Linked DNA regions of Sus scrofa. The protein of the gene in region 1 interacts with the protein of each later gene in a pairwise test. Links are inferred from orthologs where the notes say so. Each region holds a gene or a part of one and is shown in the gene's direction. Other genes may lie near its edges.

Region 1 (4,431 bases):
TGTTGGGAAGCTCACCTGGGCCTGAGGTTCTTATCCTGGCAGGACAAGCAAGGGTGCAGAGGCAGGCGGGAACCCTCCCTCCCTCAGGCCAGGGCAGGTAGGGAGCAGGAGCAACCGGGCTTCTGCACCTCCCAGCCCCAGCCCCAGCCCCAGCCCACCCGGGGGTTTATCGGGGCGGGGGGGGCATCTCCCTTTCTTCCTGACACCTGCACGGCTCTGTGTGAACAGACCAAGAGGCTGTAGCCTCATGTGTTGGGTTAATCTAGTCAAGTACACAGCAGTGGGAGCACGTCTCCAGGTGGCAGAAAGATCTGGAAGGCCTAATGGACCATCAGCCCCCTGATGAGGTTCTGTTTTAGGGCTGCAGAAAAGAGCCCGTGGGCTGGTGGCTGCGTGGGGAGGCCCGGGCCTGCTGGGGATCACAGGGCCCAGGGCACAGTGGCTGGATGGAGAGCCGGACGTGGGGGGCCAGGCCTTGGGGCTCGCTGCTTGCCTGCAGCAGAGCAGACGCGGGCTCCAGCCCTGCGGAGGGCCCCTCACCGGGTGGGGAGGAGGCCGGACCGGGGCCAGGGAACGTGATTGCTGGGGAGACAGGGCGGCTCCTGGGAGCCCCTGCCCTGGAGGCGGCCGCAGAATGGGCCCCGAGGGGGGAGCCCCAGGGCCCACCGTGCCCATCTGTCTGTCGCCTGTCCCCCGCAGGCGTGCCGATGCTCTCGGTCCAGCCCAAAGGGAAGCAGAAGGGCTGCGCGGGCTGCAACCGCAAGATCAAAGACCGCTACCTGCTGAAGGCGCTGGACAAGTACTGGCACGAGGACTGCCTCAAGTGCGCCTGCTGCGACTGCCGCCTGGGCGAGGTGGGCTCCACCCTGTACACCAAGGCCAACCTCATCCTGTGCCGGCGCGACTACCTGAGGTGGGCCCCCCCCCCCGCCCCTCCCCTCCGTGCCGCCCCCTGCCCAGGGCGGTGCGGCTCCGCCCACTCCAGCCCGGGCCCCGCCCCTCGGGCCCAGTGCCCGCCCCACCCCAGACGGGCCTCGGTGCCCATGGGCACCGGAGAAGCTTCCCAGGGCAGGAGTCTGCCGCTTCCCAGAATCCAGGAAGGGGCCCCCTCGGAGGGGCCTCCAGGAGCAGGGGGGTGGGAAGCCCTGACTTCCCGGACCCCTCTGGCCTGAAGATGCCCCGACTCCTCCACCGCCCTGGCCGGGAGCCCGGCGGGGAGCCAGACCCGAGCAGAAGAGCCTCTGACCTTGGGGCTTAGAGACCACACTGGGGACCAGTTCTGAGCTTGGCTTCTTAGTGCCCCCGCCTCAGTCTACCCCTTGGTGACTGGTGAAAAGGCCAGCACTTGAACCCTACCTCGGTTCCTCAGAGCTCCAGCTGCCCCTGCCCCGCAGCCTGGACCCTTTCCCGGGCCGCCTCACCCATGACCCCCTCGGGCCGAGCATGACATCAGCAAGGCTGGAAGGAGGCCACAAAGCAGGGGCCTTGGCTGAGACCCAGCGTCTGCATTTGGCTCCCTGCAGGCTGCTGGGTGGGGCGGGGCCTGGTGGGGGCGGAGGCCCCCTGCCTTAATAAGGAGGTGGGCCCAGGGATTCAGGGGCTCCCTTGGCCCAGGACTGGGGGCGGGGGAGTTAGCAACACAGGCTCCCCTCTTTCCCCAGGATTTACCTGCCCGCTCCTTCTCTTTTAAAACTTCTGCCTTTTGCAGGAGTTTGTTTTATTATTTTAAATGGTGCTGAAAACCAGGAGGAGTGATTCAGGGCTCCTGGCGGCGCTGGAGGAGAGATGCCGAGGTCAGGGGAGAGGTCACCCACCTGCTTCTGGGGACTTGCCCTCGGCAGCCTGGGAGGGGCCTCCAAGTCCAAGGTTTAGGACCTCACCGGGAGGCTGAACCTGCCAGGTTGAGGGGAGGATGGCAGGCCGTCTGACGAGTCCACAGGACCTGGAGAGGGAGGACTGCCATGCAGGCTGGGCCCGTCCATAGAGCTCAAGCACCCACAAGCCTCCCGGGCCCTGCCAGCTCCTGGAGCCTGAAATATTTTCCTGGGCTCTGGCAGAGGCCAAGGAATGCCCTTGGGGCCAGGTAGGGCAGTGGGCCGGGGTGGGGCTGGGGCTTCCTGGAGCTGCTCAGCCCAGAGAATGGCCGTCCAGAGCCTGCCCCTCTGCAGCCACTGGACTGGTGGTAAGAAAGGCCTTTCTTGGCAGGCAGATGCTGTGGCCCGGCCTTTGTCTGCCTTAATCTGAGCCACCAGGCAGCTCAGGCTGATGAATAATGGAGCCGAGCTCATCTGCAGGTGCCTGCGTTTGAGCTCCGGACAAATCAGGGATTAGGGGGCCTCGCGCCTGCCTCTCAAGGCCCTCGCCTCACTTGGGGCTTCCTCTGCCACCGTACAGAAAGGGAGCAGACCGCTGGCGCATCCAGCCAAGGGCGGGCCTGTGTGGGGAGGGAGGAGCCCTCTGTCCTTGGAACTTTGCAGTTGGCAACTACGAGGAGGTGCCAGTCGTCCTTGGAAGGTCCTTTTGGCATCTGTTCTGTTTTAGAAGCATCTTTGAACGGGATCGTCTAGTCCAACAGTCCCACTTTAAAGAAGGATAAACTGAGGTCCAAGAAAAGGGAAAAGGGAGAGACGTCACAGCCTGAGTTCCTGAAATAGTACCAGAAAAAGGCCTCTGGTACCAGAAAAAGGACCAATGACTTGGTCTGTGAGAAGCCCCTAGAGCAGTGCCTGGCACGTAGCAGGCAGCGTCTGGGCATTTGCAGAAGGGCCGTGACTGAGTGTTTAGTTTTCACAAGCCTGCGAAGGATGTATTTAGGTCCCCATTTTATAGTTGAAGTGAGTGAGGCTCAGAGAGACCCAGTGACTTGCCTGAGGACACACAGCCCACAATAGGCAGACTGCCTTTAAATTCAGGCTTGTGTGAATCTGGAGTCCTTAGCCTGGGCTCTTTGGGGAGCCGCCGAGGGAGCTTGCTTGAGGGACCCTAGTGGGAGCCTGAGGACAGGAGGGCGAGTCAACTCAAGGCCCGCCCAGGCCTCCTCCTTGCGAGGATGTGCTGATCTGAAGCCGGACCTCTTAGCGGGATTAGACCCTTCCGTCTGTCTTCCTCCCCTCTCGCCCAGGCCCACCTACTGAACCGCAGGGGTTGGGGGCAGGTGGGGCCCCGGCTGGAGGCAACTCCCCTGCCCTCCCGCCAGCCCCCGCAGGCCCCTGAGCTCTCCGCGCCCTCCCTCTGCAGGCTCTTTGGCACCACGGGAAACTGTGCCGCCTGCAGCAAGTTGATCCCAGCCTTCGAGATGGTGATGAGGGCCCGGGACAACGTCTACCACCTCGACTGCTTCGCCTGCCAGCTCTGCAACCAGAGGTGGGTGGTGGGCTGCCACAGGCCCGATGCACTCAGCAGACCCCGCTGCCAGCTGCTGCCAGGTCTCTTGTGCTGCGGAGGCAGGCATGCAAACATGGGTTCTCTGTGTGCGTGTTGCCGGGAGCATGTATGTGCATGTGTGCATTTTATGTACACGTGGGCCTGGTAGCCAGGTATGTGCACTCCAGTACCGTGTGTGCCCATGAGTAGAGCACAGCTCCACACAGACGTAACAGACAGGGCCGTGCATGAGCCATGCGCATTGTGTCGTGGCCATGCGTGCATTTTTACACGTCACGTGCAAGGGGTCTGTGTGTGCTGTCTGCAGGATGGGTGAGTTTGCCTGTGCACGCGTGTTTCTGAATGTACGTGTACAAGAGCCCTGCGTGTGCTACCTATGGATACACGTAGGTGTGTTCTCGTGAGAAGGGGCTCCCGGACCTGGAGGGTGAAATAGCCTTTAGAATTTCGCTCCTGTGATTCTTGTTCCAGCCCAGCCCCCTCTCTGGTGTGTTGGCCCCAGCTTACTGTGCCCCCAGCCCTGTGGGAGGCCCCGGGGATCTGAGGAGCCAGAGCCCTTTAGCCCTGGCTGGGGCTGAGCCCCAGAAGGCAGGCCCTTTTGTCAGGAGCCCCCAGGTCAGGAAGGAGCTCATGCAAGCGTTGCCAGAGGGTGAGGTCCAGAGGGACCTACCTAAGCTGGTTTGGAGGAAGCTCTGCCCCGACCACCGCCAGGAGGGCTCGGTGAAGTTGCAGCGCCACCTGGTGGTTGAAAGAGGATCGGCTGGGCCTGGGCCTGTCACCCTGGGGTCCCACGAAAAGCCTTAGCTACCCTGGGGACATCTTTGGGGTAAGGGCTGAACGCTCCAGGACTTGAAGAGGACCGGGAAGGGCAGGGGGCAGGATAGGGCTTTCTTTGGGCAGAACAGAAGCGGGGGTCAGGGTCACCTCCTCCTGAAAGGTAGTTGGGAAAACCTCAGATTCTGTTCAGAGAAGAGTGCCCTTAACTGAGCCACTTCCTTACCTTGGAGAGGGGAACAGAGGATTGGAAAAGTCAGCCAGTTTATTCCC
Region 2 (4,431 bases), on another chromosome or scaffold:
TCTCTCTTTCCCCGCACGCAGGCGGACACCTGCATTCCTAAGCTGAACGAAGGGGATCAAATCGTGCTGATCAACGGCCGGGACATCTCCGAACACACCCATGACCAAGTGGTGATGTTCATCAAAGCCAGCCGGGAGTCACACACGCGGGAGCTGGTCCTGGTGATCCGGAGGAAAGGTAAGGGCCACCCACGGAGAGGCGCCTTAGCGAAGAGGGCCTTCTCCCGCCCCTTCCGAGGTGTTGAGATGTTGAGCTCGTAGCCAACATCGGACAAGCCAGACCTTTCCCATGACAACCTGCTGGCTGACTTTTCACTTGAAAAATGTGGAGACCTGCCCACCCAACACCCTACCCCTCATGGCCAGTGCTCGGCAAGTAGGCAGCACCCACCCCCTTTTATACAGGGCACGAGCCCCGCGTTCCTCCCAGCCGGACTCAGCCCACATCGTGCACCCCGCTTAGCTGCCTGGCCCCGTCTGCCTTTGCATAATCATCCCCATCTCAGCAGATCAGGTTATATTTTATTCATGTGCATTTGGTTTTGTTGGAGAGACAGTAAGCTGAGTAGGGCAGGAGGCTGACTGCCTTGGGGCTGTTCTAACCCTGCCTCCTACTGGGCCCAGGGACCTTGCCCAGTAGGAGTTTCTTGCCCAGTCTGTCTCCGTTTCCACTAAAGTAAAATGAGGATAACACAGTTGCTGCCTCTGGATTCCTGTGAAGATTCAGTAATACTCATACTGAAAAGCAACAAGGACGCTGCCCCGTACTTGGTGGGCATTTGAAGGGCAGCCTCTGTTGAATACTATTACTGTTGTTGTGGTGGTGGTGGTTGTTATAAAGCAGTTAGCCTTGGATCCTCCTGCCCGGCTTCAAATACTGAAGGTAAATGAAGTATGTGGCTCAAGCCCTGGCCCTGCATCCCTGTTGTGGCCTCACTGCCTTCTCTGTTCCCGGTGATGCTCCCAGTGCCAGCTCTCACCCCACCTCCTCCGTGAGGGCCCCACCTGATCTCTCCAAAACCCTTCCCACCTCGTCTCACCCCATCCCCTCCAAACCCAGCTCCATGCTGGGCACACAGTAGGTATCACTCGTGACAGTGGCTGATGTCTCTGCAGCACCAGCAGAGGGCCTACACCATGTCAATTGCTTTACTAATTATCCCATTCAATTCTTAAAATGTTCTCGTAGGTTAGTGTTATTATCTCTAAATGGGAACAGCAGTCACGGAGAGGTTAAGTTGCCCTGCTGCCATGTGTCTGGTGAGGCCCCATGATAATAGGGACGGAAGGAATCCAGCAGTTGGGAGCAGACCTCTCTATCACATGCAGTGCCCTGTGACCCGCTGGCCAAATCTGGGGTTCTTCCCAGGAGCACCCTGGCCAAGCCAGGGAGGGGGCCCACCACCAGCCCATGGCAAGGGGCCAGTGTCTGTAGCAGAAACTAATGGAGCCCCATTCGACCTTACAGAAGAAGAATCAGAACTTGTATCAGGCTTTAATGTATAATACGCTTTGAGGTGAGAAAAACAGATACTTGTAGACTAGTAGAGCCTAAAGGGAAGTGCATAAAAGGTTTCCTGTAACTGTAATGAAAGTAAGTTCTTTTTTTTTTTTTTTTTTTGTCTTTTTAGGGCCACACCTGCAGCATATGGAAGTTCCCAGGCTAGAGGTCAAATTGGAGCTGAAGCTGCCAGCCTATGCCACAGCCACACCAGATCCAAACCATGTCTGTAACCTACACCATAGCTCACAGAAACGCTGGATCCTTAACCCACTGAGCAAGGCCAGGGATCAAACCCTCATCCTCATGGATGTGAGTCGGGTTTGTTACTCCTGAGCCACGGGATGGGAACTCCAGTGAGTTCATTTTAAAAATAAACATTTAAGTAAAAAATGATTGAAAGAAAAATAAGTAAATAGTAACGGGACGGGGCGGGGGAGCACATATGACAAAACCCACAAAAATAAGTAGAAGAACTGAGCTTCTTTGGTCAGTGAAAAGAATGTGGTCTTTCGGGTCAGCCAGATGTGGACTTAAAACTCTTGCCCTTTGAATCAGTTTCCTCATCTGCAAGATGGGAATAATGACACCTGCTTCAGTACTGTGAGGATTCAGTTCAACTCTGTGGGAAAACCCAAAGTTGTTGCCTCCTTCTTTCCTGTTATCTTGAAGGCAGTAGGGAGCCATTGAAGGCTATTGCGAAAGGGAGTGACTTCTGTTTCTGGGTAGAAAGGGAAAAATTCAGAGATGAGCTCAAAGTCTTCCCTTTAAGAGAGTGGAGAAGGAAGTGACATAGACAGAAAGAAGCATATGAGGCCGGGACGTATTGTGCATGGTGGGGAAGGAAGGGCCCTTGGCCTTTTTTTTTTTTAACCCATATTGAGTCTGCATGAAGGGAGAATTTGTTCCAAAGAGGAAACACAGACTAGAGATGTTTATCTGGGCGGCCTCCCTCCTAACAGTGGCCTGAGTTAGAGACACCACCTGAGCTCTGTGGGACAGTGGCAGTGTGGAGAGAGCACCAGACCCCACACCAGTTTCTGGGAAAATGCCTGTTTTAAAGGAGCAGATAAAAGGGACCCATGGGATTCCCATCGTGGCGCAGCGGAAGCAAGTCCAACTGGGATCCATGAGGTTGCGGGTTTAGTTCATGACCTCGCTCAGTGGGTTAAGGATCCGGCATTGCCATGAGCTGTGGTGTAGGCCGAAGACACGGTTCGGGAAGAACAGGGGTAGAAGAATAACCAGCTCAGAGACAGTAACAGGAGAAGATCTCTGTTCTTTTTTTTTTTTTTGGCTTTTTAGGGCCGCACCCATAGGGCATATGGAAGTTCTCAGGCTAGGGGTTGAATCGGACCCACAGCTGCCGGCCATAGCCACAGCAACTCGGGATCCGAGCCATGTCTGCGACCTGCACCACAGCTCACAGCAACACCGGATCCTTAACCCACTGAGCAGGGCCAGAAATTGAACCCTTATCTTTATGGATACTAGTCACATTTGTTTCTGCTGCACCACAACAGGAACTCTGATCTCTGTTCTTTAAAAACAGTCATTCCCTTTCTCATACCTTTGGCAAAAGCCTCTGAGTACTAAACACCATCATTTAAAACTAACCAGAAAGATTAGTATGTCATTTTGTATAATTAGCACATATTGAATCATTCAACAAGAAGTGTCGTTGGTGAAAATGATTACCATGTGCTTAATCATTTAATAAGATGTTTTAAACCATCTGCATTCAGGTGTCATAAGTGTAATTGGGGGGAGGAAACCGATCCCCCAGCGTGTGGCTGCACAGGCCCGACACGTTCCTTCTCGTCCACTGCAGCGGTCCACTCATTTGCTGATATCAAATCTGAAGACGAACTGAACCAGCTCTTCCCAGAGGCCATTTTCCCCATGTGTCCGGAGGGTGGGGACACGCTGGAGGGATCCATGGAACAGCTAAAGAAGGGCCTCGAAAGCGGGACGGTGCTGATCCAGTTTGAGGTAAGAGACCTCAGGGCTGACCCCCCAGTGCCTCTGTGGGCTGCCGGCTGCTGCCGGATCATTCAACTCACCAGCTGGCCGTGCTCATCCAGGGACCATGGAGGGGCTCGGGGCCTCAGAGAAGGCGGGGGCTGGCGACCACGGCCCGCCCCTGAACTCTGTCTCACCTGCCTGTTCTAGTAACGATCAGTAGTCATGGAGAAGCATGTCAGAAATCAAGGAGGCGGGACTCTGAGCATATTTTGCTGCCAACGCAAAGGCTCGAAGCACTCAGCAGTCAAAAGTAGTGGAGAGGCAGCGTGGGTGAGGCAGAAGGGCTGATGGAGGAGCCGGGTCCTGACCCCACCAGGCACACTTTGCAATTGCGACCACTTAGTATCCGTATCATCCCATGAGGGCACAGGGGCTCGGCTTCCCAAGTGCCCCAGAGAATCAGAACACAAGCAGAAACCAAGGTCAGGCCCCGTCTCCCTTCCCCAGGAGGGACCTCCAATCACAGCATTGAGACTGTTGACAACAGCACCCAGAGACTTTACAAAACAAGGTAGGACCCGAGGAGACTTGATTTTCGAGTCAGTTTTACTGACCCCTAACAGAATGAAAATAGATTGTGTTTATCGTCTACATTTCTTAAAGGTGGTAGAAAACAGAGTAGTTCAAGCAGTAAAGATAAGAGAAGAAGCATCAAGTAGGCCGATTAAAGAAAATGAATCATGATTAATGACAGCTTACACAGTCTGGATTCATAAATTAGGAAGGAGAGTCTCAGATAGAATGCAAAGGCAGACATCTGCATTGCATCATTAGAAAGCCATGTAAAGGAAAAAAATCAGAAGCAAAGCTAGGAAATTTGTCAAATACATGTGACTGCGTTTTGATTCAGGAATGGATGAGTAATGTGACTATTAAAAAGAAAGATGCAGGGGGTCTTCAGTGAT

What was found.
Region 2: the proteins of LMO1 (region 1) and PTPN3 interact in binary tests that used the Homo sapiens proteins (3 or more experiments, as listed by UniProt). The two-hybrid records come from large-scale screens. The link is inferred for Sus scrofa from reciprocal best matches to the Homo sapiens genes LMO1 and PTPN3.

Annotation. Positions count from the first base shown.
Region 1 is NC_010451.4:1,076,908-1,081,338, forward strand, and holds part of LMO1 (rhombotin-1), read left to right. Parts: intron 1-699; coding exon 700-913; intron 914-3,237; coding exon 3,238-3,363; intron 3,364-4,431. UniProt on the Homo sapiens protein: May be involved in gene regulation within neural lineage cells potentially by direct DNA binding or by binding to other transcription factors.
Region 2 is NC_010443.5:250,445,990-250,450,420, reverse strand, and holds part of PTPN3 (tyrosine-protein phosphatase non-receptor type 3), read left to right. Parts: intron 1-21; coding exon 22-178; intron 179-3,332; coding exon 3,333-3,493; intron 3,494-4,431.